2 linked regions of the Schizosaccharomyces pombe genome follow. The gene in region 1 interacts genetically with each later gene. Each region holds a gene or a part of one and is shown on either strand. Other genes may lie near its edges.

Evidence for each region.
Region 2: mutations in ubp2 (region 1) and ubp4 together harm fitness more than expected from each alone (negative genetic interaction), as found in Schizosaccharomyces pombe (2 studies listed by BioGRID).

The regions. Positions count from the first base shown.
Region 1 is NC_003424.3:3,482,972-3,496,396, reverse strand, and holds ubp2 (ubiquitin hydrolase Ubp2), read right to left. Parts: upstream 9,204-13,425; 5' UTR 9,073-9,203; coding exon 5,713-9,072; intron 5,629-5,712; coding exon 5,563-5,628; 3' UTR 5,298-5,562; downstream 1-5,297. Other genes in the region: odc1 (2-oxoadipate/2-oxoglutarate transporter), read right to left, coding at 520-1,350, 1,622-1,687; tubulin specific chaperone cofactor C Tbc1, read left to right, coding at 2,214-2,244, 2,326-2,891, 3,123-3,305; bsd1 (heavy metal ion homeostasis protein), read left to right, coding at 3,913-3,930, 3,999-4,814; hrb1 (RNA-binding and mRNA export factor), read right to left, coding at 9,895-10,341, 10,423-10,815, 10,914-11,015, 11,055-11,156, 11,332-11,661, 11,699-11,719; spg4 (AAA domain-containing protein), read right to left, coding at 12,263-13,425.
Region 2 is NC_003423.3:1,779,645-1,791,768, reverse strand, and holds ubp4 (ubiquitin hydrolase Ubp4), read left to right. Parts: upstream 1-5,325; 5' UTR 5,326-5,354; coding exon of another isoform or gene 5,355-5,437; 5' UTR 5,438-5,520; coding exon 5,521-5,628; intron 5,629-5,688; coding exon 5,689-5,832; intron 5,833-5,835; exon of another isoform or gene 5,836-6,020; coding exon 6,021-7,550; 3' UTR 7,551-7,762; downstream 7,763-12,124. Other genes in the region: RNase MRP subunit, ribosomal protein L7-like Rpl701, read left to right, coding at 124-750; PPR repeat-containing protein Ppr2, read left to right, coding at 1,087-2,385; splicing-associated factor Saf4, read left to right, coding at 2,723-2,983, 3,029-3,277, 3,333-3,722; SPOM_SPBC18H10.09 (zf-CHY type zinc finger protein), read right to left, coding at 3,852-4,126, 4,162-5,291, 5,355-5,437; wbp4 (WW domain-binding protein 4), read right to left, coding at 7,763-8,383, 8,457-8,510; swd2 (Set1C complex subunit Swd2.1), read left to right, coding at 8,613-8,788, 8,849-9,113, 9,162-9,794; SPOM_SPBC18H10.05 (WD repeat-containing protein), read right to left, coding at 9,995-11,755.

The sequences.
Region 1 (13,425 bases):
TAAAAATAACGACTGTAGTAATCACGTAGAATATAATATTATAAATATACCGAAATGGCTGGGATGCTTGATTGAGTTTTTTCATTTGAAGGAATGAAGACATATAACAAAAATTCTAAAAAGTGTTGAAACAGATTGCGTTGTATAATTACTTATACTAATGATCGCAAATCTAAGAGAAAAACACAACGGTTTTTCGAAGGTCAATGTTTAAATCAATATGTACTCTTCAATCATGAAAGACTTGCTAAATTTAACGATTAACACAGCATCGAAATGATTAACAGGGATGGAAAATATATACATGCAATGTAAACAAAAAAAAGAGAAAATTAAGCCAAAAAACTTTTGATAACAAATATACACGTATTTAGCGATTGCTAAATACGATAAAAGAGCCCACGAATTCAAGTCGTAGGAAACTTTTTTCTTTCAACCTTTACTGAAGACCCGGCAATGAAAAAAATTTTTTTAGGAACCAAAAAAAGGGGGAGAGAAAAACAAAAAAAACCTTGATCTCTAAGCAGAGGCGTTATGTACAAGACATCTCTTGTAAAACTCTATGACAGAATTAAAAACAACCAAAAGAATACCACCACCAGGGCCCAGACGGAGTACTTTAGGGACAAAACCTTTATACAGGGCTGTAAAACCCTCTTCCCTTGCGACTGTAACTAGAGCTGGATAGGCCCAGTTATATTTTGGAACTTGGCCGGCAATACGAGGAACTGTCTGAATACGCGACTTGATAACGTCAAAGGGAGTGCTGAGGAATGTACCAAATATTCCTCCGATAGTTCCAGCAATAAGGTTATTACGGATTTCACCAATTCTGCTCGAGGCAGGCGTCAATGAATTCCGAATCTTTTGAATTACACCAAAATATCCAGCATTCCAAACGACATGGCGCCACATAGTGGCTTCAAACCCATTGTAAAGAGCTAAAATTCTCTCTTGCTTTACAATTTTAGTAAAGCAGTCGACAGTTCCGTTATACTTAGAAGCATTCTTAACGTCTTGCAAACGAATTTTCATCAGTTCGAAAGGTACGACTACGAACGTTTCAGTAAATCCTGCACATGATCCAGTGAGGATAGAAAGTGCAGGACTTGAATCCTTTCTCTTGAAGACTTTACGCCACAGCTTTGAATAAGTATCGTTGGAAGCAAATTTTAATGCACGCTTAGGAGCCTCCATCAAGATTGGAGGTAAAATTCCACGATACAAACGATGTGGACCCTCATTCTTGACGATCTTTTTGAGACAATCAAAGGTTCCATTGTAGTCTGATTTACCAACGGACAGTTGCATACGAGTTTTAACAACATCCAAAGGATACAAAGTTAGGACCTGAAAAAGAAAGAGTTAGTAAACAAGGCCATGTTAAAGGTTTTAATGGTAAAAGAGAGGTAAAGAGAGATTTAAAAAACATGGGATAAAACTTATAAAGAAGTAATTCGTTCAGCATCTACGGAATCAAACGTTTGCTTTCCTTCATCTCCAAGACAGCTCTTTTACCTTACGCAATTCATTGAGCATTTTGAAGATAATAACATTCTTCTCCGAAAGCCTTCAAACGTATCTTTCAATGAAATAAAGTGCTCCAAATAAAAAACCTTACCTCTGAGATTCCAGCAACTGCGCCGGCAGCAAATGTAACAGGAAATGGAATATTATCATGAGGCATTTTCGATAATATAGTAGTTAAACTTCAATTTTCACACTTAACAAATGCTGCTGGGCGTTGTTGTTAAGGAATGGAAGGCAAACATCTGTTGAGCTCACATACAGGTAAATTTAAGATGATTCTCAATGATAAAAGATAAGAGCCGCTAAAAATATTCATAACGATAAAATCGACAAAACTTCGTTTATTTCCAAATCTTAAAGTCATTTTGAGTTGAGTGAAGATAATTTTCATTTCAAGGCACTGTCTTCTGTACTTCGCCTTTGAAGAGTTGGATTTTTGGTTTCAATTTTAAAAATTCATAATAATTTTTGCACCCGAAGTATCGAAGTTAAGATTAAAACTAATACTGATTTGATGAATTTATTTAAGAATCCTTTTTTTCCCGAGCTGTTTGAATGACTTTTGGTGCAGGTTAAAATTGAAAAAATATATGTTTATTGAATGATCATTGAACACAGCATAACGTACTGTGATTTAATTTTGCATATATAACGGGTGTTTTAGTTCTAATTTAAAAGGAAAAATGTCTGAAAAGTTCGTCGAATTGAGAAAAGGTATGGGTTTATTTACATCTGCAATTTCGTTCATATCGAAAGGTCTGTTTGTTGTGCTATTTACTAACTACTTTTTTGTAGAATTTCTTACCAAATTATATAAATCCACTCCTAGTGAGCAGACTTCTCGCTCCGAAAAAGAGACTTGGCTTGAAGAAAAGTCAAAATATTTAGGTGAAATGACGAGGGAGCTAAATGAAGTTCAAGACCAAATTGCACCATATGACAGGAGAGTATGCATGGAACAACTAGTAGATTTGACACGAAGGCTTCAGCAAATTCGACACGACATTTTGCCCAGACAGCCATTTCGCTTTCAACGGGCACTGCACGTCAAATCGTCCCAGAAACCGGTAAAAAATATTACAGTTAATGCTGAAGCTCCAGAAGTTTATTTTGAAAATGACACCCTGTACTTGGCAAATTTGAAAAACCAAAACATTGGAGATAATGTCATTCCATATCCTAACAACAAAGCTGTCAAAGTTTCCGCAAAAAGTTTACGATCATGCAATATTTCCATATCCAACTGCTCATCTGTGAACTTACATAACGCTACAAAATGCAACTTTACTTTCCCAACCATTCAGGGTTCTATCCATCTTTCTGATATTAACGACTCAACAATCTGTGTATCGTGTCACCAAGTAAGTTTTTTTGATAAATTTGAAGGCATCTAGACGATGGTTTTGATGGAAACTATTAGTTAGACGTAGAGACTGCTATCATTATATTAGGTTGTCAATATTTAGATCCCATATTCTTAGTATGGATCACAACAATGCTGTGTAAACAAAATTGATAATGCTTTCTACTGTTTGATTTTACTTTGCCTTCTGGCCCTTCTTTTGATTGATTATATCGCTAACGCCTTCTAGTTTCGTCTTCACCATTCTACCAACCTTCGTGTGCACCTGCGATGCAAAACATCGCCCGTCATTGAAGAATCAAAGGAGATATCCTTTTCTTATAAAGATGAGCATCCTATTTTGGATTTTACTTGGGCACGCTCTGACCCGTCTCCACATTTTCGTATCACTAGTGACCTTTTTGACGCTTAAAATTCTATATGTATGCACCAAAATCATCCATTAGTAAAAATACGTAACGGTTTAGCTTGGTCTTTTACTGACATACACTCGTTGGTGCTTTTTTTTTTTAATTTAATATTCTTTCGTACGCCTTTCTAATCATTCATGTCATCCATCCATCTTACCACCAAGTCGATTATATCAGTAAATCCTTTGAGATTCCTTGTTTCTCATTTTCGACTTTTTATACCACTTCTTGTCGGAATACATATCTGATCACTAATTGTTATAACCCAAGCCATTGATTTCAATTGGCTTGTTTGGTTTATTGAAAAGAATAGATATCAAAAATAATTTATAACGGGAATTTAGCTTCTGATATGTCACCTAAAACACTCAATTCCCATATTTTTTTTTTAATCTGATTTCTCTACAGATTTTGAATATAGTTGTTACTTGCAAGTAACGATCATTAATAATACCATGGTTTCGATCCATCCTGTACTCTTCCACCACTCTGTTAATTTAAAATCAAAGAGCATTTAGTGGGTTAAAAAACAAAAATACGGAAATTTTTGGGAACGTTCATTAATCACTTTACCTCATTATATACGGGTTGAAAGATATCACAATTCCCATGAGTACTAATTCAAATGTAAGGATAAGCCTTCTTTTTATACTGTTTAAATTCCCTGATATATCAGTCTAACAAATCTATTTTAGCAAAATTCAATTCATACTCCAATACCTGAATTTCCGGAAAACCGGTCTACAAATCGATCGGAATTGGCAGCTGCTTTCGAGCCTCCAGACGACGATGTGGAATACAGTGAAACAGCACCTTTATATAGCTCTGCCAGAGCATCAATAGAAGGAGAAGAAGCTTTTTACCAACATTTATCAACGCCGGATCCTGGCAACGACTCTGGGCATGTACGTAGTAGCAATGATCGAATTCCCAGCACTTCATCAAATCATGCAGATGGCCATCACGTTGATAGTGTCTTCTCTAATTTATCTGCTAAACCCACAGTGGAATCTAATACTGAAGAACTGGAAGAGGAGCCCCCTTCTTATGAACAGGCTGCTGCGGATACCGCCCCTCCTTACTGGGATACCACTATGGTAATTCCAGATTACGGATCTAACGAGATTTACATTGATGGGATGTCCGTTGGAACTGGTTTCTCCTTTGTATGGAGTGCTTGTGTCGCTATTCTCTTTCCTTTTGTAGGATTTCTTGTCACATATGTCTTATCGACGACTCATTTGGGTCGTTATGGTGCTCAAATTGGACTTAGTTTAACTCTTTTTCAACGTGGCTACATAATGATTTCGGAGAGTGGGATGGAGAATAACGACGATCAATACAATTACGACGAGTTACCACATCAGAAGCTTATAGGCTCTATTCTCATTATAATCGGGTGGTGCTTGGTACTAGTAGACACCTTTGGGTTCATCAGAATACGCCGTATGAAGAATGCCATTAGTCGGACAGACTCACCTGGTGAAACGTCTCCGGAAGAAGTGGTTTAGTCACGATCTATAGGTTCTTTTAGTTGCGGCCGTATACTTTACAAAATAATCGGCTCCTTACTTTTTCGTTTATGTGTTAAGATTTTATTTCCCTTATAGTTTTCATTTTTTCTTTAAACATGTTCTCTTTTTCTATTTCGGTTTATGGGCGGATGATCCTTGTTTTAAATACCTAGTTTATTAGTTAATCTTGCCCTACCTGATTTTTTTTACGACGCATCATTTTACTTTTCGCTCTCTTTGATGAATAACTTGGCACATTCACGGCACTGTTGATGTATTTTTGTACAAAGCTCGTTCAAATTACCTTAAAACCTGCTATTGATTCTACAGCTACTTTTATGTTTTTTCCATGGTACTTCTATAGTGATTTATTGACTTATTTATTGGAAACTTCTACTAGTTTCATCTATTAATTACATTTTTTGTCAAAGATTACTACTTATAATAAAATTTGCGATAATCGCCATTTTAATAATAAAAGCCGTTTGTTTACATTTCAATTTTTTTGCTAGACTTTTTGCAATTTTGTCATAGAAAAATTTTCTCTTTATAGTAAAGACTAATAGATTATTAACCCGTACCGATGTATAAAGTATAACTAAATTTTTATGTATAAATAGATTTTTGAAATATGAATTCATAGCTTCCATGCTTTAATATCGTGAAAAACGTTACAACTTCCAACCTCCATTCATAGCAATTGATCACGGATGATCCATCCTAGTTTTTACCCTTCACATAGTTTTTAAAGCAGAAGATTGTGTTCACGGTGAACACATTCAATTATGTGTCGATACTCTTTCCTAATGTACTAGATAAATGTTAGCTATATGTAAACTGGAAAAAATTTGAGAAAATGATTATTTCCCTCAAATGGGAAATAATAACGACTTACCGTAAGCATGTAAGGGTTAGCATTGTTGCCCGTAGTATCAGCAAAAATTTCGCTTTCATCTACCACAGTAACATATTCATCATTATATTTTCGATACACATTGTTTTCGAAATCATGAATGTAAGTCCAATAATGACCGAATGAAGCCTGTCCACGATGCACAAATACAGCAAGCAAGTCGTAGCTATGGCTGATGTAATTATCGAAAAGATGCGTCCTTTCTTCTTTTAAGCTGGCTTCCTGTTTTTTAAGCATATCCACTTCAGCGACAACATTGTTTATTTCCTCTTGAAGGATATCAGGAAGTTTTGGATTAATAGGAAGTCTCGAATCCTGCTGCTGTGCAGCCCATTTAGATAGAATAGACAATGTATCAACAGATGACATTAGATTCGAATTTGTAGTTAACAATAGCTGTTGTCGTTTTTGAAGGTTGATAATTTCACGCTTTAGATCCCAGTACCTTTGTAGTAAAGGTGCCATTTTCCCATCAGTATCTTCAACATATCTGTCCATGGAAAGTTCTTTTCCAAATTCAACAAATGCATTAGACTTGAAAGGCTGTCCAGTAGTCCTGTCAAATTGGACACGCTGTATTTGTAATTGCAAAATTATCGGTAGCTCAGTAATACACAAGGATCGTTGGGCAGTTTCGCTTCCCATATCAATATTGACTGTTTCAAAAACACCATCCAATGCATCATACAATGTTTGTTTCTCCTCGAAAAGGTCAACGATCAAGTGAGAAAAAATCTCATAGTTAGACCGTACTCCTTGACTAGCATCATTTAGTGTTTGTTTTAGTTTGCCAGAAAACAAACGTCGTATAAGATCATTATCAGAGCCAAGACGATCTTCTGAGTTGGAAATACGACCAAGTGAAGCTTCCAGTTGAAACAAAACGTGATCAATACATTCCAAGACATCTTGTTGACGACCTAAATCCATGGAGGAGTTTATTTCTTCTTCAGATACTTCAAAGTAATGAGGTTGTGTTTGAGACTCTCCGTTAGTATTGGCCATGGGAAAATCAATTAAATTAACTGATGAAGATTGTTCCGCTGGACTTTTGGCCTCATCCTGTCCTTGTTCTTGTTCAAGCCCTTGAGCTTGCTCTTCTGCTCTGGGGTCAATAGTGATAGATCTCTCATTCAAATTGCTCAACTCTCGAGACGATGACAAATCCATAACCGAGGATGTTCCAGATTTGACCTGGTCCAACGTAAGAGGTATTAAAGCAAGATATGTCAGTACTGAAGAAGGATGAACAGACGATGACTTTGAAGTAATGAGTTCAATAAATAATTTTCGGAGTTCATAAGTGAATTGTAAAGCCCTCAAGAATTCAATTCGAGTAACAATCCGTCCACCAACTTTCTTGACAGCTTCCTTGTTTTCAATCATATTAAGATCTTTGTTTTCATCAATATCCAAAATTGCATTACGAAGAGGTTTTATAATAAAGTAGTATTGGATCAGGGAATTCAAATAACAAAGATTACCAGTATTTTCCAAACCGATCGGAGTATCCAAACTTGAAACTTCTGGTGGAATATCTAGATTTCCATGTTCTAAATAATGAGTGATTAAACGCGAATTCCTAACTTCTCCTATACATTTCAAAGCTGCTCTCAAAGTGTCTGATTGCTCTGGGTGGTCTTCAACAGCAAAGCCGTATACATTGATTAAAACGTCATCTGATAGTGCACGATCTTGAACACCTAATGTGTTGTAAGCTAGATCTTCATCCATAGGCACTTCTTTAGGCTTCTTGTTGGAAGGTCTACCTTGTGAAGCCAAGAAATCGTACAAAATGGAGCTATTTCTCTCTTCAGCTATCCATTTGACGGCCTCGATGGCTTTGTCGCTATCATCTTCAAATTTCACTAAGGCCACAGAAGCTACCATGGCGTCCTCGGTGTTAGACTTAATGCCCAACCATTGGTAGGCTTCATTAACCGTATAAAAAGCCTGTTCTGTAGACAAAACATAATTTAAAATTTCAGAACTCTTTCTTGCATAGCCAATAGTCTCCAAATCGTTCCTAATAGCTCTGGCAAATTCAGGTTTTCTTAGGAGGGCAGAATGAAACGCCTCAAAGATTTTTTCTTGACTATACCTGTAATCCGGGCCTACCTCAGCTTCAAGTCCTAAACTCGAATAAGCGGCTTGTATTACATCGCTCGACACGATTCCATTTTTCCTATCTGCCGCAATTAGATCTCTCAAAAAGCTGCTTTTACGTAAATTGTATATATGAGCAAGCGCATCCGCATAAACACGAACATTAGCTTCATCGTTCTTTTTTTGTTCCTCATAGAAATAACGGACAAAGCTGTCTGGATAATCATTCGTGATACCCAAGGCTATAAAAGCAGGATCATCAGGTAAGGAGGCCGAATTGTCGCGAAAAACTGTGGTATACATGGGAACCACGCTATCATAGTTAGGAACGCCAAAGGCATTAATTAAAGCAGGTCGAGCCAACCTAACGGGAAAAGGGTTAGCAACAATAGCCGGATCTTCTTTAGTGTCACGAAAGTGATTAGCCAAAACAATAAGTTCATTCCTAGCAAGGTATAGATTAAGTTTTTGTTCGTCAGTAAGGGGAGCGTCCGCAATGGTAGGGACATAATTTACATTTTCGTGGTGATATTCAAACAGAAGAGATTTCATCAAAGATTGAATTTGGCGGCCCTTTCCGACATGTCTCTCAAAAGTTCCTTCCGGGGCAGCGCTAATGGCACGTTGATCGTTATGGACCAACACGTTTCGTAAAAACAACTCCAAAGAAGTAAATGTAGTAAAAAGAGAAGGTTGGGATGAATGGGATGACCCTTGATGAGATGACGATTTTTTAGTTAAAAGGGAAGCAAATGATGGACGTCGGGAATCAATTATCTCTTTGATACAATTAGCATCAAGATAGCTATCTCTCCATTCAACTTCAATTTCACTTTTTGTTGTTTTGCTACTCCATTTCATACAAGTAGAGGTAGTAGCGAATTCACTTTTCGTAGGGCTAGTCACATGAGGTTCAGGTAATTCCTCTTCTTCGTAGTAAACAGGAATCCTATCTTTTATTCCATAATTTTCTTCAGGCTCTTCAATTAATGGCTTCCCCCTGTCTCTTCGGACTTTCACATGTAAGTGTTTGCGAGTTTTTTGACAAACACACCAAAAGTCATTCTCGTCAAATACAGCGGACTCGCCTAAATTTGAATGAAGCTGCCAGTGATATCTTGAGCTATGAGGACTCCAAGGATCATTCCATCCAGCTGATGGACTATCAAAGACGTCTAAATCTTGAATCAACCGATTAGGACTTTTGCCAATTCGCAAGTTCTTTACAGTTGCCATTCCTCTTTATAGTTTGATGTAAATAATTTTAATAAAGAAATTTAAATTTTTTATTATGAAAAATACTTGAAAAAACGTCCAAACGGAAAGAACGTACAGATTGAAGGATTTTTCATGAGTAAAGGACTCGGTAGGTAGACTTCATGCGTATGATGCTTGTCGTCTTACATATGCCAGCCAGGTATGCGACCATCAATTTTATGAATGTGGGGAATAAGATAGAAGTAAATGTTTGTATTTCATTGATAAGGCTACTAAAGAAGGTAAGAAACAATCAACACCTACATTTCGCTATACGAAATTTACCATTATGCTTAAATAAGATTTTTAACCTAAATACACCTTACTTTAAAAATAATGTAGTTAATCAATAAAGATTAAACTTGGTTAACTGGAAGTTAACAGAATGGAAGTCTAAAAATCTAAAATATCATTAAAACCATGAAATGGTTAGCAATTGTAAAAGAAGGAAACTAGGCATCCTGTAAAAAAACAGTAAAGCTAAAATTAAAAAGACTTCAATTAGAAGAACGAGAGACGAATATATATGCCATCAGCATACTTTGGTGTGTCACGGAAAAGAATAAGATCTTAGCAAAAAATTGAAATCAAACAAAAGAGATAAATCTATAAACATGGAAAATAAGAATATTTGGGGATTAGGAATTAAAGCAAAAATTTGAAGAAAAAATAGAGAAAAGCAAACAATATTAGGATAACTGCCTTAGAACATTGCGCATGTCGTCACTGAGCTAGCCATTCACACTACGGAAATGTGCTTAATTGTAAAGAGAAAAGAAGTTCAGATGTATTGGCGAATTTTTAAGAAGGCTCCAAAGAATGTTCAATATTATTTTCGGGTAAAGCTACAGAAATAGGAGCAATAGCGGGCATGTTTGCAACGGGCATTGAAATCGGTAGATAGCCTAAGAAAGAATTTGTAAAAGATTGGGGCGTTAGTGGTGAATTCGTTGTAGGGATATGCATAACAGGTGGTGTATAAGCGACTGAAGGAAGACCCGAGAGCACAGTAGGGACAGCAGGTAGTGGAGTCGCATAGTGAGCGTATGATAATTGCAAGGGTCTCCCGCCATAACGATAACCATTTAATTTTTCAATTGAGGATGCTGCATCATTTTCATTCTCAAATTGAACGACACCGAAACCTTTAGATCGGCCAGTGGGCTCATAGGCGATTCGGGCACGAATGACTGAGCCAATATCTGTGAATAGGTCCAATAAATTGCGATCTGAGGTGGCCCAAGGTAACTATATTCAGTCAGTAATCTCCAAAAAAAACTTAAAATGATGCGGAAAACTAATCCCACAAAAGCGTCCTTATATACATACATTTCCAACGTAAATGCAATCCGAGCAGGGTCCATGGGGATACGCATGATAAACTAAATCCTCGACTTGAGTATTAGCACCTAACATGGGTAGATAGGTGGATGATGTAGTCATTTGCATTTCCGCTGGAAACGTATAGCCATTTCCATGAGTGGAATACGGCTTACTTTTATGATGTGCAAACCGATCTAGGCGAACTTCTAAAGTGCGGCCCATGAAATCAGTGTTATGCAACATTTGAATGGCATGCATGGCTTCTTTCATCGAACTCATGACAACAATCCCAATGCCACGGGATCGGCCTTCTTGGTTCATTTGGATATCAGCTCGGATAACAGAACCAGCTTGTCTAAACAAATCCTTTAAATCTTGCCAGCGAACGTTATACGGTAACTATACTCGTTAGTACCATTTCTTATTTGCAATTCCACAATTCATTAAAATACCAAAGTTCGAGGAAAAGAATATAGAGGATTAGAAATTGAACTTACGTTACCAACAAACAATTGCCTGTCTGGCTCAGAATCTTTGCCATTCGACGACGCGCTAGGCGATACTGAAGAGGAGCCAAATCTTGCATTTTGTTCTCGATCCTTTACGAAGGTTAATAAGCGACATAAAAAAAATCTTACTTCACGGATATAAACAAGACGGCCCATAAATTTTTGGTTGCTCAGAGTTTTAATTGCCGTGCGCGCTTCTTCAGCAGTAGAGTACTCAATTATCGCGCATCCCTGATATATTAGCTAGACTATTCACAATCTGAGTATACGACAAATTTTAGGATAAGCTATAGGCCATAAGTAATCGTTTAAAAGTAACGTTCAATTGGATCGATTCAACGTTACAATTTAAATAGACAATGATTTACTAGTCGCATGAAACCCACCCTCTATGAAGCAAACTTACCTTCGATAATCCATTCGGAAGATTCAAAATCTCACAATTAAGAACATTGCCAACTTGTCCCATAAACTCTTTCAACTCAAACCAACGAACTTGATATGACAAATTACCAACATACACGCGACGCTCTTGTTGAGTGTACTTTTGGCCATTTCCCAAGTGAGGGTCTCTTTCAGTGTGCTCTCCATCAAAATGCAAGCCACGTTTCAATGAATTGCTTCCGTTGACATGTCGCTTCGGAGACTCCGATCTGTCACGATCCATATTGGAAGACGATGAATTCAAGGAACTTGACACATCCAACTTACTACCCATTCCTGAATCAAATTCATTCTATTTGATCAGCTAAATCAATCAATAGTTATCATACCCATTCTATAGGTTTAGGCATCGCAAGAGCATAAGCTGAGTGTGCATCTTCACATAATTAAAGCATCCCAACAACTTGACTTCTATAGTGTAACTGCAATATAATTTCGTAAGTGATATACTGTAAACTCTTAGATTCGCTAAAAGAACAATAGAATAAAAAAACTGTAAACATTTAAATTATAAATATTGACATGTACTGACTAATTAATCATAGTAAGGAGTTTTAGTTGTTTGTAAATGAGTCGTAATAAAAATGGAAACTCAAACAATAACTAGGGTTAGAGATAACCTCAGTTAATATTAAGTGTTTGAAAAATTCAAAGACTGTGCATAAATTGTATCAACAAAAAAGAGACAAACGAATATATTAGGAGTAAACAAAAAGGCTTTTGGTACAGCACCATTATTATCATCATGAATAATTCCTTGAGGCAAAAGTTGTCCTTATTAGTTATAATCATAAGTTTGCACAAGCCATGTATTAAAAGACAATAAATAAATTTTCAACGTGATTACCAAAAAAATCGGTATCAGGCTAGGAATTTTAAATAAGAAGACAGACTCAATGCCCTTGGGATCCGAACTCTTTGTCCCATTCTGAATATCGTTCCAGCCCTTGCAAGTTCACACTAGGCCGGATTACCTTGATACTAGTTTTAAAGTCATCTAAATTAATCGGCCTAATCGACTCCATTTTCGTGAATAGCAAAGACTCACCTAAACTTCGCAAAGGCCCCATAGCTGCGTCTTTTGCCAATGCTGTCAAATCAGAGCCAGAGTAATATTCGGTTGCTTTCACAATAGCCTCAATATCCTCTAAGGAAAGAGAATGCTTCTGATATTTTAAAAGGTTATTTAAATGTAAGCGACGAGTGGTCTCATCAGGGAGGGGAATGTAGGTACGACGGACAAATCGTCTACGAGCAGCATCGTCGATACACCAAGGCAAATTGGTAGCGGCAAGCACTAGAACTCTTGGGTGATCGGCGGTTTGTCGAGATGCAGCTGCTCTTGCAAGCGAAGACCACTGAATTAAGAATTCTGTTTTTATTCTTCTCGATGTTTCATGCTCATTTCCATCACTGCTTCTAGCAGAAAGCAGTGAATCAATTTCGTCAACAAAAATGATGCTTGGAGACAGCTTTTTTGCTAAAGTGAAGAGAGCACGAACAAGTTTTTCGGATTCACCCAAAAACTTGGATGTTAAACTAGAAGCTGAAATAGAAAAAAAGACAGAACGGGATTCAGTAGCAACAGCTCGCGCAAGCATTGTCTTACCAGTTCCTGGAGGCCCAAAAAGAAGCATCCCCCTAGCTGGTTCCCGCAAGCCTTGGAACAAATCTGGACGCAAGAACGGATACACCACTGCCTCTTTTAAAGAGTGCTTAGCAAATTCTAACCCAGAAATATCATCCCAATGAACTTCATCACCCGAAACCACGATTTCTCGAAGTATACTCTTACCAAGCTCTTCGTCGATGTCTGGACATTCACGCAGAATTTGTTCTTGCTTTTCAGAAGTCATTGCAGAGATAGATGTGGATTGAAACTGCTTTTCAATAATCTCTTCTTCGTTTGTGTGGTTGAAAAATTCATCGCCATCAACCGGCGAATCTTTCTCTTCACAGGAAGAAAGCCCCTGTTCGGAAGCTGGATAGAGATCACTCAGAAAAGGGTTGTTCACAGATAAACGTGGCGGTGTAAGGAAATCCAGATCTTGCGCAG
Region 2 (12,124 bases), on another chromosome or scaffold:
CAATTTACCATCTTTCGGGACTGATTACTGTTTTTCTACTTTTCTCTTTATTTATTTCTTTCCATCTAAATTACATCCATTCTAATTTCACAAAATTTCTACTGTATTAACTGTTATGTTTAGGCTCAACAAAAGAAGCGTGAGCTCATTGCAAAGCGCGCCGAATCTTACGATGCTGAGTACCGCAAGGCCGAACGTGAGCAAATCGAACTCGGTCGCAAGGCTCGTGCTGAGGGCAACTACTACGTCCCTGACGAAACCAAGTTGGTCTTTGTCATCCGTATTCGTGGTATCAACAACATTCCTCCCAAGGCCCGTAAGATCATGCAATTACTCCGTCTTATTCAAATCAACAACGGTGTCTTTGTTAAATTTAACAAGGCTACCAAAGAAATGCTTCAAGTCGTTGAACCTTATGTTACTTATGGTATTCCTAACCTCAAGACTGTTCGTGAGCTCCTTTACAAGCGTGGTTTTGGTAAGGTCAACAAACAACGCATTGCTCTTTCTGACAATGCTATCATCGAAGCTGCTTTGGGCAAGTACTCTATCTTGTCTATCGAGGATTTGATTCACGAAATTTACACCGTCGGTCCCAACTTCAAGCAAGCTGCCAACTTCATCTGGCCCTTCCAACTTTCTTCTCCCTTGGGTGGCTGGAGAGATCGCAAGTTCAAGCATTTCATCGAAGGTGGTGATGCTGGCAAGCGTGATGAGCATATTAACTCTCTCGTTAGAAAGATGCTTTAATTTGGTGTAGATGTTAAAAATAACCATATCTTTCCTAGCTTTGACAAAATAATTTACAACAAGTAGATTTAGTTGTTTTGGTCATTAGGTGTTATTAGTAAATTCATCGCTAGTAGTTACTTTCATTGTAATTAGCTTTGTTAACTCATTTTTGCAATCTTTTGTGTGCATATAGTAATTTTACCTCGTCAAACAGCACTTTTACTCAACGTTGTACATAAGACGATGGTTGAACTAATGATGTAGTGTCTTCATTCGTAACAACTCATATTTTATAACTTACTTCCTACTAACGCGGTTTTAATCCTAAACTTGAATAAACTAGTGGTTTGTTTAATGCAATTCATTAAAAGGACATTTCCGCGAAGGGCCTTTGTCGATTTGCTCCTAAACCGCTTCTGCTTGCGGGAATTTGCAACCACGTATAGTGTTTCAGTAAGTAATGCGCGGAAATTAGTACGAAAGCGCCTTTTAATCGCTGATGCTTTGAAATTCAAGGAGCAAGTCAACAATCTAAATGAGTTTCGAAATAAAAAAACTAAGTCATCCTTAATAAGAAACGATGGTTTCAAACTGGCTAAAAATGTATCTTCGTTACTTCAAAAAGAGTCTTTAGAGAAAGCATTGCATTTACTGTACGAGAGATCAAATGCCAAGAAGACGGTTGCCTATAACCTTGTACTACAATATCATTTAGCTAAAGGGCATTACAACGCTGCTTGGTCTTTGTACAATGATATGAAAAAGCGCCAACAAAAACCTAGCGATCATACATACTCCATTCTTCTAAAGGGATTTTGCGATGCTATTGAAAAGAATAAGCAAGGAAATTTTTCTAAACTACGTGAATATAGTGAAAAGGTAACAGCTAGTGCTCTCAAGGAGTCTAATAATGTCACATCCAATTTGCATCACATACGAATTATATCCAAGTGTAGTCTAAAGCTTAAAAGTATGGTATTGGTGTCAATGATTATTCCATCCATCAAACAAACATTGGATTTCTATAGTGGATCTCAAATTCTTCGACTTTTGAACGACTTTTCTATGTTCAATCCGGAACAACGTGAAGAAGTGTTAAAGATGGGGACGAATCTTTGGAATTATTTTGTCCTTGAATGCCAAAAGAAAGGAATAGCAGTTGATGAAAGTCTTATTTGTTCCTTTGTGAAACTTCTGGCTACTAGCAACTCGCCTCAAGTGAGAAACGTGGGGTTAAATATTCTTACAAAAGTGATGGGATTGGAATATCAGATTTTCGAAGATTCCAACTTGCGTTATCCTTTACCCCCATATTGCGATTGTACTTCAAGAAGTTTGGTTACAGCATTACAGGTCATTCGTCAAATACAAAACGGTGATTTGTTAGCAAGGTATTGGAAGTATTTTGAGGAAAGTCACAAATTTGATTTAAATCTTCAAGTATATCATGAGAAGCTACGTAACCTTGTTCAGCAGGGCCAAGCAGCTGAATGCTTAAATACCATTAAAAGGATGTCGCATAACGGTCCTTTCCCTACTCAGCAGACATTTTTGATTGTCTTATCATTATGCAAAAGGCCGAAATTTTATAGCTACACGAAAAGCTTCTTAGACTTGGCCAAGAAATTGAACGTCCCCGTTGAAGCAACCTAAAAATATCATCAAGTGTTTAATAATTCATCGATACCTTTTTATGTCATTTATAATTTTCTATTAATTTATAAGAAATGAATTCAAATAATCGTCATGTAATTTATTTATTTGTACATGTTTACCTTGTCCGTTTGAAACTGTAGAATGGAACCCTTATTATTTTAACGTCAATTTAGCAAACGTAATTTAAAATTGTTTGTTGAAAAGCCATGAATTAACTAAGAGTTATAATTATGTTTCTGTTGCATGCCACTGATTTAGCCTGAACTTCACCTAGACGTAGTATTAACTTAGGAACTACTGATTTTGGGCATAAAGAGCTATATACTCACTAAAAATGCAAGGATTTAATATGGGGAAATATATTCCCCCGGAAGGGCCGAATGCTAAAAGAAAATTTGATAAATTACGAAATGTAATTCGGTTTGAAATGCCATTTCCAGTGTGGTGCAACAATTGTGAAAATATCATTCAACAAGGCACTAGATTCAATGCTGTTAAAAAAGAGATTGGCTCATACTATACTACGAAAATATGGTCATTCAGCTTAAAATGTCATTTATGCTCAAACCCTATCGATGTACATACGGATCCTAAGGTACTGGTTTGATTAATTTAACAAATTTGTTACTGACATAAATAGAATACAGAATACATCGTTGCTTCTGGAGGCAGAAGGAAAATTGAACCTCAAGACATCAATGAACGTCCTGCAAAAGCTGAAAACGACGAAAAGGTGCCGTCTGATGCAATTGAAGCGCTGGAAACCCAATTAACTCAGCAAAAGTCAGAAAAGCATAATAGTTCTGTAATAAACTTTATATATGAGAAAAATGAAAGGCTTTGGTCGGATCCTTTCGTTTCTTCTCAGAGGCTGCGAAAACAGTTTCGGGTAAGAAGAATTTGTTTTGCGTTAAAATTTTCATATTAACTAACCCATAACTTAGGAAAGGAAAAAAATTGAAAAAAAGCAAGAAGCTAAAGATCTATCTCTCAAAAACCGTGCAGCGTTGGACATTGATATATTACCACCCTCTTCTTCTGACAAGGATAAGGCATTATTGTTGCTAGATAACGAATTAGGAAAGAATAAATTTATAAGGAAATTAGATTATAGAAGAACATTAATGCCCTCTTCTAGAACATTTTCGACTTTTGCAAAGTTTGCTGAGACTTCATTCGCAAAAAAAGATCCTTTTGCTCGAAAATTTGTCCCTTCCGAGAAGCTAAGGAGCGAGCAAAGGAAATTTCCTACAGAAAATTTAAAGGGAGAGAAAATCCTTGAAGATAATTCGGTTTCTCTCGTCAATTATGAAGTGAGTGATGATGAAGGATAATTATTTTGGTTAAATACGAAGACTTTAAAAGTATCTTCTATCAAAAGATTAACTACTTGTTATTCATTAAATTTTTATACAATATGGGTATCTAATGAAGCAAAAAAATATGGATGTCATGCAACCCAATTAATTACCGTGATGCTTCCTTTTGTACTTCCTTGGATCCTTCCTACTCATGCGAACGCGATCGCGCATTCCTTTTCCTCCCTCCCAGTAGGCACTGGTTTGTTTTTTCACAGTCATATTTCCACAATGGGGGCAAGTTGCATCCTTTTTGTAGAAAGATTCCATGGCACAGTACCCACATATTATTCGATTAGCATGCTCAAATGTATGATTTTGATCAGCGTCATGACATTCATCACATGGATAAACACGATCACAACATGAAAAACGAAACCCTGATTGTTAATTATGAATTTTATAAACGACTTACATCTGAATGATTTTTTGTAATGTTCGCAAGCACCATTATTGGGAAGTGGCAATCCTTTCGTAATGTTTAAGTTTTGTTTTTGCTTCTTTTTTGCGCTCACCTTCCCGCCCATTGAACTTTGTCGTTGTTTTAACAAATGAAATTCGGTATCTTGATGTTCAACCAAGATTCTGTTTTTGCATACTTTACAAAACTGTAGCATGGGCTGCATGGAAGAAATACCTTTAAAGGATGTTATCTGCTCATCAACACATTCCATACAAGAGACCTGACAGTCAATGGGCATCACGTCAACCGGTACACATCCTAAAGTATGGAGGATACCTAAACGGGCATTATTTGGGTGAATCACACCAGGCACCCAAACTAATCTTAGAGTATTACTACACTTATTGCAAACAAGAGAAAATTTTGTAGCAATAGAAATTTCACTTCCATAATGGCACCGAACACACTTTATGACCAAACGTAAAATTGGTGCTTTGAGAGTACCGACATTAGTTAAATGCGGATTCTTCCATTCTAAGCAGTATTCGTTACCCAGAAGCTCTGTGTCTTTGCTCTGAATGTCATGATCGTTACTGTAAGCATCCTGTGGTTCATTAACATTTTGTAGATCATCTTCTTTCCCATCGTTTCCTCCTTTTGAATAAATAATTTTTTTTGGCTTTTCATCATTGAATAACTGTTCAGAGCCAGAGATGGTAGTTTTTGTTTGGGTAGTATTCTGCTTTTGACAGTGATTTTGACCACGCAGTACTTCATAGTCAAGTGTAGTGTTCAAATGAACCCTCTCTGATAGAGGTCCTTCAAGCTTATTTGCCAACGGCTCTAAGTCAGTTGGGGTTTCTGGTTTCTTAGAATCGACTTGTTGAACCATCAACTCACGCTCTTTTGTATTGCATGTCTCAAATGATTTCCAATTTTGTAACAAATAATTAAATAAACTTGTCAAAGTTGTTTTCTGATTTTGAAATGCCGTTTCAACGTACTTATTCATTGCCGTTTGCATGAACTCTTGATTTTTTTCAAGTAATACCGATATTTGAAACGGTTTATCTTTATTTATAACTAAAGTAATCAATCCATGATCACTGGGCAAGGATAAGAAAATCTCATTTCTTGCCTCTCTGGTACTAGTTAATAAAGATGTTTACATTAACTAACCCACAGCTAACCTGCTTAGTACTTACATAACTTCCGGATTAAGCCTTCGCCGGAATACTTGTATCTGCAAGTCCCAATTTGAATCCTTCATAGCTTCAATTGAAACCATAATAACCAAAAAAGGCTATAGTCTTGTAGTATTTGGTTCAATTCAGGTTAAGTCGCCAACACAAATACTCGGTTCTTCCTCGGATGTCCGATGATTATTTCGACAGACTATTTGAATTAGCATTCGTTTATATTAATGAAGATGAAACGATTCAAAGCTGTTCCTTCAGAGGACAACGCTGGCTTGAAGAGGTATGTCTAATTTTTCCGTGCCGTTTATAGTAATGTGCTTCAATTACTAACAGTTTTGAGGCCCAAACTCTTGAACAAAAAAATTCATTACTCAAAGCATACTATTACTATTTAAAAGCACTAAAACTTGCTTACGAAATTCCATGCCGATTCGAGATTTCTGTTAAGTCTACTCATTATGGAGAATTCAAACAGTTCCAAAAGGTATCGACATTGTACATAGTATTTTTTTTAATGCTCAAAACACGAAAATTTTGTATTCAAAGCTCCCTAGCCTTCTCGTCAGATAAATTTGATATAGTTGACGAGACTGTACTAATTATGATCTTTGAAGCAAACTTAATTTATTTTTTGTTCAAGTTACAATCTTGAATACTAACATGTCCTTTTAGTTAGCAATTCAAGCCGTTTCCAAAGCCTTTACTATAAAAAGCAAATTAGCGGTGAAGCATTATTTGCCTGTAATTCAAATCTCTGACGCTCTTTCCCTATCAAAAAAATCATCACTTAAAGTTCTTTTTCTTAATTTCTATTCCCAAGAGTCTTCAAAGGGTTATGTTTTTTCGAAGCACACGATTGCCATCCCAATATCCTGTTTGCAATCGATGGATTCTTCAAAAATATATGACTTTTTAAAATCCGCACCTTTTCATCCAAGCATGGTTATTTGTTACAGTTTGGAAAGATACTTCGAAGACGTTTCTTTGGCTTACAAGCTTTACTCGATGTTACGTTCGTTGAAGTTGGATCCTCATTTCATGGAATTGGCGAACCCTAAGAAAGTTGATAGTTCTTTATCGTATGAAAATTATCAGCCTATAGGTTTAACGAATTTGGGTAATACTTGTTACATGAATTGTGTCCTGCAATGTCTTTTTGCGTGTAAGGACTTGACTATTCCTATGTTACAGGGGAGAGGATTGCTTCAAAATATCAATACCAAAAATCCATTGGGTACCGGTGGAAAAATCACATCTGCTTTCTTTTCCTTGCTTCAAAGTGTCTTATTAAACCATGGTCAGAGATCAATATCTCCAAGGAATTTTTTAGAAATTGTACAGTCATTGAATAGAGATTTCTCCATCGATGGCCAATGCGATGCTCAAGAATTTTTAAATTTCTTTCTTGATAAACTTCATGAAGATTTGAACTCCAATGCATCTCGGTCTCCGATAGCACCGTTGACGGAAGATCAATTAAGTGCCAGAGAAGAACTCCCATTGTCCCACTTTTCACACATTGAATGGAACTTGCATCTCCGGTCTAACAAGAGTATTGTGGTCAACAATTTTGTAGGTCAACTTTGCAGTCGTACTCAATGTATGACATGTGGCCGCACATCTACTACTTTTGCTCCCTTCACATCGCTTGCGATACCGATTGACGATGTCTCCCATGTAGTAAGCCTACAAGAATGCTTATTAAAATTTTCAGCTCCTGAACTCTTGCAAGGGCATGATGGATGGCATTGTCCCGTGTGCAAGGTTCAAAGGTCGGCAAAAAAAGTAATTATGATTTCGAAACTACCTGAATATTTGATCATACAAATTCAGAGATTTAAAATATCCGTAATGGGTCGTAAAAAAATTGATACACCACTTGGATTGAGCTTACAGATTCCAAGTAAAATGCTGGTACCACCGAGTTTCCAATCGGGAATTGGTTATATTCCTAGCAATTATAACCTGTTTGCATTTATCTGTCATTATGGCCAGCTCGAAAATGGACATTATATATCTGATGTACTTTTTAATAATGAATGGTGCCATATTGATGACTCAATTGTTCGAACAGTGGGCGGTATTACTGACTTGAGAGAAGATTTCTCCTCTTCCTACATTCTTTTTTATAAACGCTCAAGTCTGTTGGAGGAGTTTGAAGATAAGTGTCCCAAAATGACTTTGAAAAGAAATGTTAAATAAAACAAAATAAAAAAAGGAAAAATGTTTTCAATAAACCTCAAATATAGTTATTGAATAAATGTTCAACTTAGCATTCATAACCGATATGAATACTTACTTAATGCTGATTACCCAACACAAAAGCTACTCTCGTTATGTTGAACAGAATGCAGGAATTGGATACAAAATTTTTTCATCCTAGAATTTTTTTTAAACAAAGATGGTTTTTTTCTTCAAGATTGATCATATTCTTTTAAGGAAGATTTTGTTCTTAACTTTCCAGACTTTTTCTTTTTAAACACCACTTTGTTTTCATTTGATTCCTTGCTTTCTAGCGATTTGTTTCCCTCGTTTTCAGCTAACTTAGGTACTTTATCTAAGTTTTTTGGTTTTACCCGAAAATGAAATGAAGATCTTTCTTCTTTTTCGATGATCTCTCTGTTTCTTTTCAAAGAGGTCCCTGGTAGAGACTCATTTTTATTAGTAGTTGTTTCCTTGGTTTCTTCATTTTCTTCTTGCTTTGCTAGCAATGTAGGAATATAGCTGGTATGAGTAGTAGAGATGGTGTCAGTCTCCGTAGAACTTGTAGGAATATCCCAATCATCCAAAGTAGCTTTTTTTTTAGAGGGACGTAATTTTGGATGCTCCTTTTTTGGTTTCTCATACGATGCTAGTTCAGATGACACCGCTGAAGCAGTGGTAGCAGTAGCTGATTTTGGTATAGATAAATTCTTCTCAAGTTCCTGCCTTAAAAGGTTGGAACGATGAATATCATCCATTACTTTTTTAATAGCATCCTGATGTTTATAAGTTTGCTCATGGCTCCGTCGCGCAAATGGTGTATCTTTCACGAACTGTACTGTTAGTAGGATTCTATTAATTTCACCACTTTAGAAATAATTTTTGGATGTTATAGAAAAAACTTACTATTTGGCAATATTTACAATAATATTTTGGAATACTTTTCCAGTAATCAGCCATTCTGAATATTAATAGGAGATACGCACTAAATACATACTTAAAACTTATTTACCCATATATTTTTCTCAGGAAACCCACCTTTTAGCATACCGTTATTTAGTAATGACAACAGTTTCAATTACTTTTGACTTGTTGTCGTCTATGCAACCAAGAAAATGGCTGAAAAATCAGAATTTTGTTGGTGAAATTACCTCTCTCAGTTTTGACGACAGTGGAGAGTTGTGCTTGGCGTCGTGTACTGATGATACTTTACAACTGTATAACTGCATTTCTGGAAAGTAAGTACTTCTTAAATTCACTTTTGAAACCTGTTTGGCTAACTGACCATGAACTTCTAGATTTGTGAAATCACTTGCAAGCAAAAAGTACGGAGCACATTTAGGTCGGTTTACTCATCATTCAAATTCATTAATACATGCTTCCACAAAGGAAGACAATACCGTTCGTTATTTAGACGTTGTGACAAATCGGTATCTTCGATATTTTCCTGGCCATAAGCAAACAGTGACTTCAATCGATGTATCACCAGCAGATGAAACTTTTTTAAGCGCTTCTTTAGATAATACTATTCGCCTTTGGGACCTTCGGTCTCCAAATTGCCAGGTATGAGTATAACAATTACTGATAATCAAACTAACTAGGAATACGTAGGGTTTGCTCAATGTTAGTTCACCCGTTGTTGCAGCTTTTGATGCTACAGGACTAATCTTTGCCTCAGTTAGTGAAAGAAAATACAAAATTTCTCTTTATAACATTAAATCATTTGATGCTCGCCCATTTCAAGACATTCCTTTAACATTCCTGCCCCCTCATGTCCGCATTGCAAATGTGGAATTCAGTACTGATGGTAAATATCTATTGCTAACAACTGGAAATGATTTTCATTACGTTATAGACGCTTATAGTGGAAGTGAATTATTAAGAGTTCCTTCAAAGGTTAGCACAAAAACCCAAGATGGAAATTTGACTTATTATGCTTCAGCTTGCATGTCTCCAGATAGTAAATTTCTTTTTACTTCATATGATAATGAGCATCTTTGCATGTATCAACTACCAGAACTGAAACAAACTGTTAACTCGGATCACATTGTTAATTCATTCACCGAAATGGGCCTAGCATCAACTACTCCGACCAGCAATAGTCATTCAACAGAGAACCCGCTAGCTATCATTCCTTCTTCAACATCTAAAAACCTTTTACCAGAAACACCTTCTATTGTTCGCTTTAATCCACGCTTCTCTCAATTAGTTACAGCACATTCTGGAGTAATTTTCTGGACGTAAAATTGTTTTTGTGTCTTAACAAACCACGAAAAAATGAATATTATATTATACTATTATTAAAAACAATTTCATAAAAAAACTTCATAACTATTATTTAAAAGGGGGAAAAAATGAGTCCTCTATTTTAAATGACACCTGAATGACTTAGAAGACTTAAACAAAATAAAAAAAGGTAAAGTAATATTAGTTTTGAATCGAGATTAGGTTCGTAATAAACGCTTCACAAAGTGTCCAAATTTTGAGTTTCTAAATCCATGATGGGAATTCCCCAAATCATAATCAACACACAAGACAATAGTCATACCTGCCATGTTGGTAGCAATTATTATATCAATCGGATGTACAGGAGGTGTTCCATATGATCTGTGACTATGAGGTTTTACTAGATTGTATCCTTCTGCAATTAAACTGCGATCATGTTCCGACTCTTTAGCTTCGACAGCAGTCCTTGCTGGTGCAATGATGGTCGAAGTCAGTCTCTCACTACAAACCTTGAATGTTTCCGTGGGCAAATGGAGAATGACAGAGCGTTTTCTTGATGCATTGATGAGTACCTTGTTGGGAATATGCCATAAAACTACTTCATTAGTATCACTTCCACTAATGATATAACTGTTGTCTTCACTTAAACGAGAAAGTACTCTGCCATTAACACGATGAGCATCACTCAGTTTCAACACTAAAGCGTGAGTGACCGTGTTGTATAACCGGATAGCATTGTCATTAGTAGATACTAAAACAACGTTGTCGGATTTTGAATCGTTTGGAATGATAGATGCGCACTGTAATCCAGTGACTCGGCATTTTTTATTTCTTGAGGGAGAATGATGAATTAGCCATGAGGACACATATTGTAAATTTTTAGTTTCATATATTGCACATAATCCGTAGAACATGCCCACAACGATCGACTCACCGTCTGGATAAAAACAAATAGTAGAAACGACATATTCAAGTTCCGTCCAATGCAATATTTTATGGCGTAAAATGGACCATAACTGAATTTTGCAATCAAGGGAACCAGAAACAAAATAACGATCGTCGATCGGGTGAAATGCGACACATGTAACAATCTCATTGTGCCTGAAAACCGCCAAGGATTTGGTTGATTTTGGATGCCAAAGCCTAACGGTTCTATCCGCAGAGCTAGTTAATAAAAAATCATTTTTGCTCCATGAAATGGAAAGGACTTCTGCGTTGTGACCTACACATTCTAGGACAGGTTCAGGTTCAAAAATGCTAGAAGGGGTAAAGAAACGACCACAACTTTGAGGACCTTCTTTGAGTAAAGTTTCTCTTCTTTCTGGTGTTTCAATTACTTTCCACACACGAATTATTGCATCTTTACCAGCGGTGGCCAGATATTTTCCACTTTTGCTAATTTCGGAGGCCCACACAGATTCTTTAAATTGAGAAGGCTCCCATTGCATAATTCGCTTGCCAAAAATAGTTTTTGACTTTGGAGCATCAGCCGGACCTATAACTTGAGAAACGTAAAGTTTTTGATTAAGTGTGATCTCCTTTTTGGGCATTCGTTTACAATGGACGGGAACGTAATGTCTCTGTCTTTTACTATCGATCTCACCACGATCAATCAAGTTCAGTAGAGATCGATCATCATCTCTTCCGGCCAATTTTTCCGTGTTTGGTGAATTCGTCTCGGCATACGTAGTAGAGTCTCGGGGTGTGTTAACTAAGCTAGAATTGTCATCATTATATTCGGTGTTCATACCAGTGTCGTTTTCTACATCTTCATCTTGTTGAATTGTTAAAGGTCTGAAGGGTCTTTTTTGAGATCTTGTGGATAATCCACGTACAGGGGTGGCAGGCGGATGTTCATCGTCTGTTTCTAGTTTGTAGGCATCATTGCCTGTACCAGAATCACTGCCGTTCACAGACACTTCTCTAGAATGTACTGACACATTATCTTCTCTTCCGGTCTCAGCAACCAAAACGCGCATCTCCAATGCAACTTCTTTTTAAGGTATTATTTTATATGAAAGTTTCCAAACAATACCCAAATTAATTCAAATAGGGAGGTCTTGAAAATGCAAACAAAGCGGAATTAGGAAATTAAAGAATAGGGAAGAACGAAATAGGAGGGATATAAAAACGCAAAGTAGATTGGGCAATCGAATAATATCAATGATGAGGGAATATTTTTTTATTGAGCAAGATAGAAAAGAAATTCGAGTAAAAAGGGAGATTAAAGGTGGATAGGAAAAAAAATGGAGATAATTAAATTTTGAAATTATTCGCAGAAAGTCGAATGCTTGGGAAATGCTATACACAAACGCTGTAGATGAAATACCAAACACGAGCAGAACTTC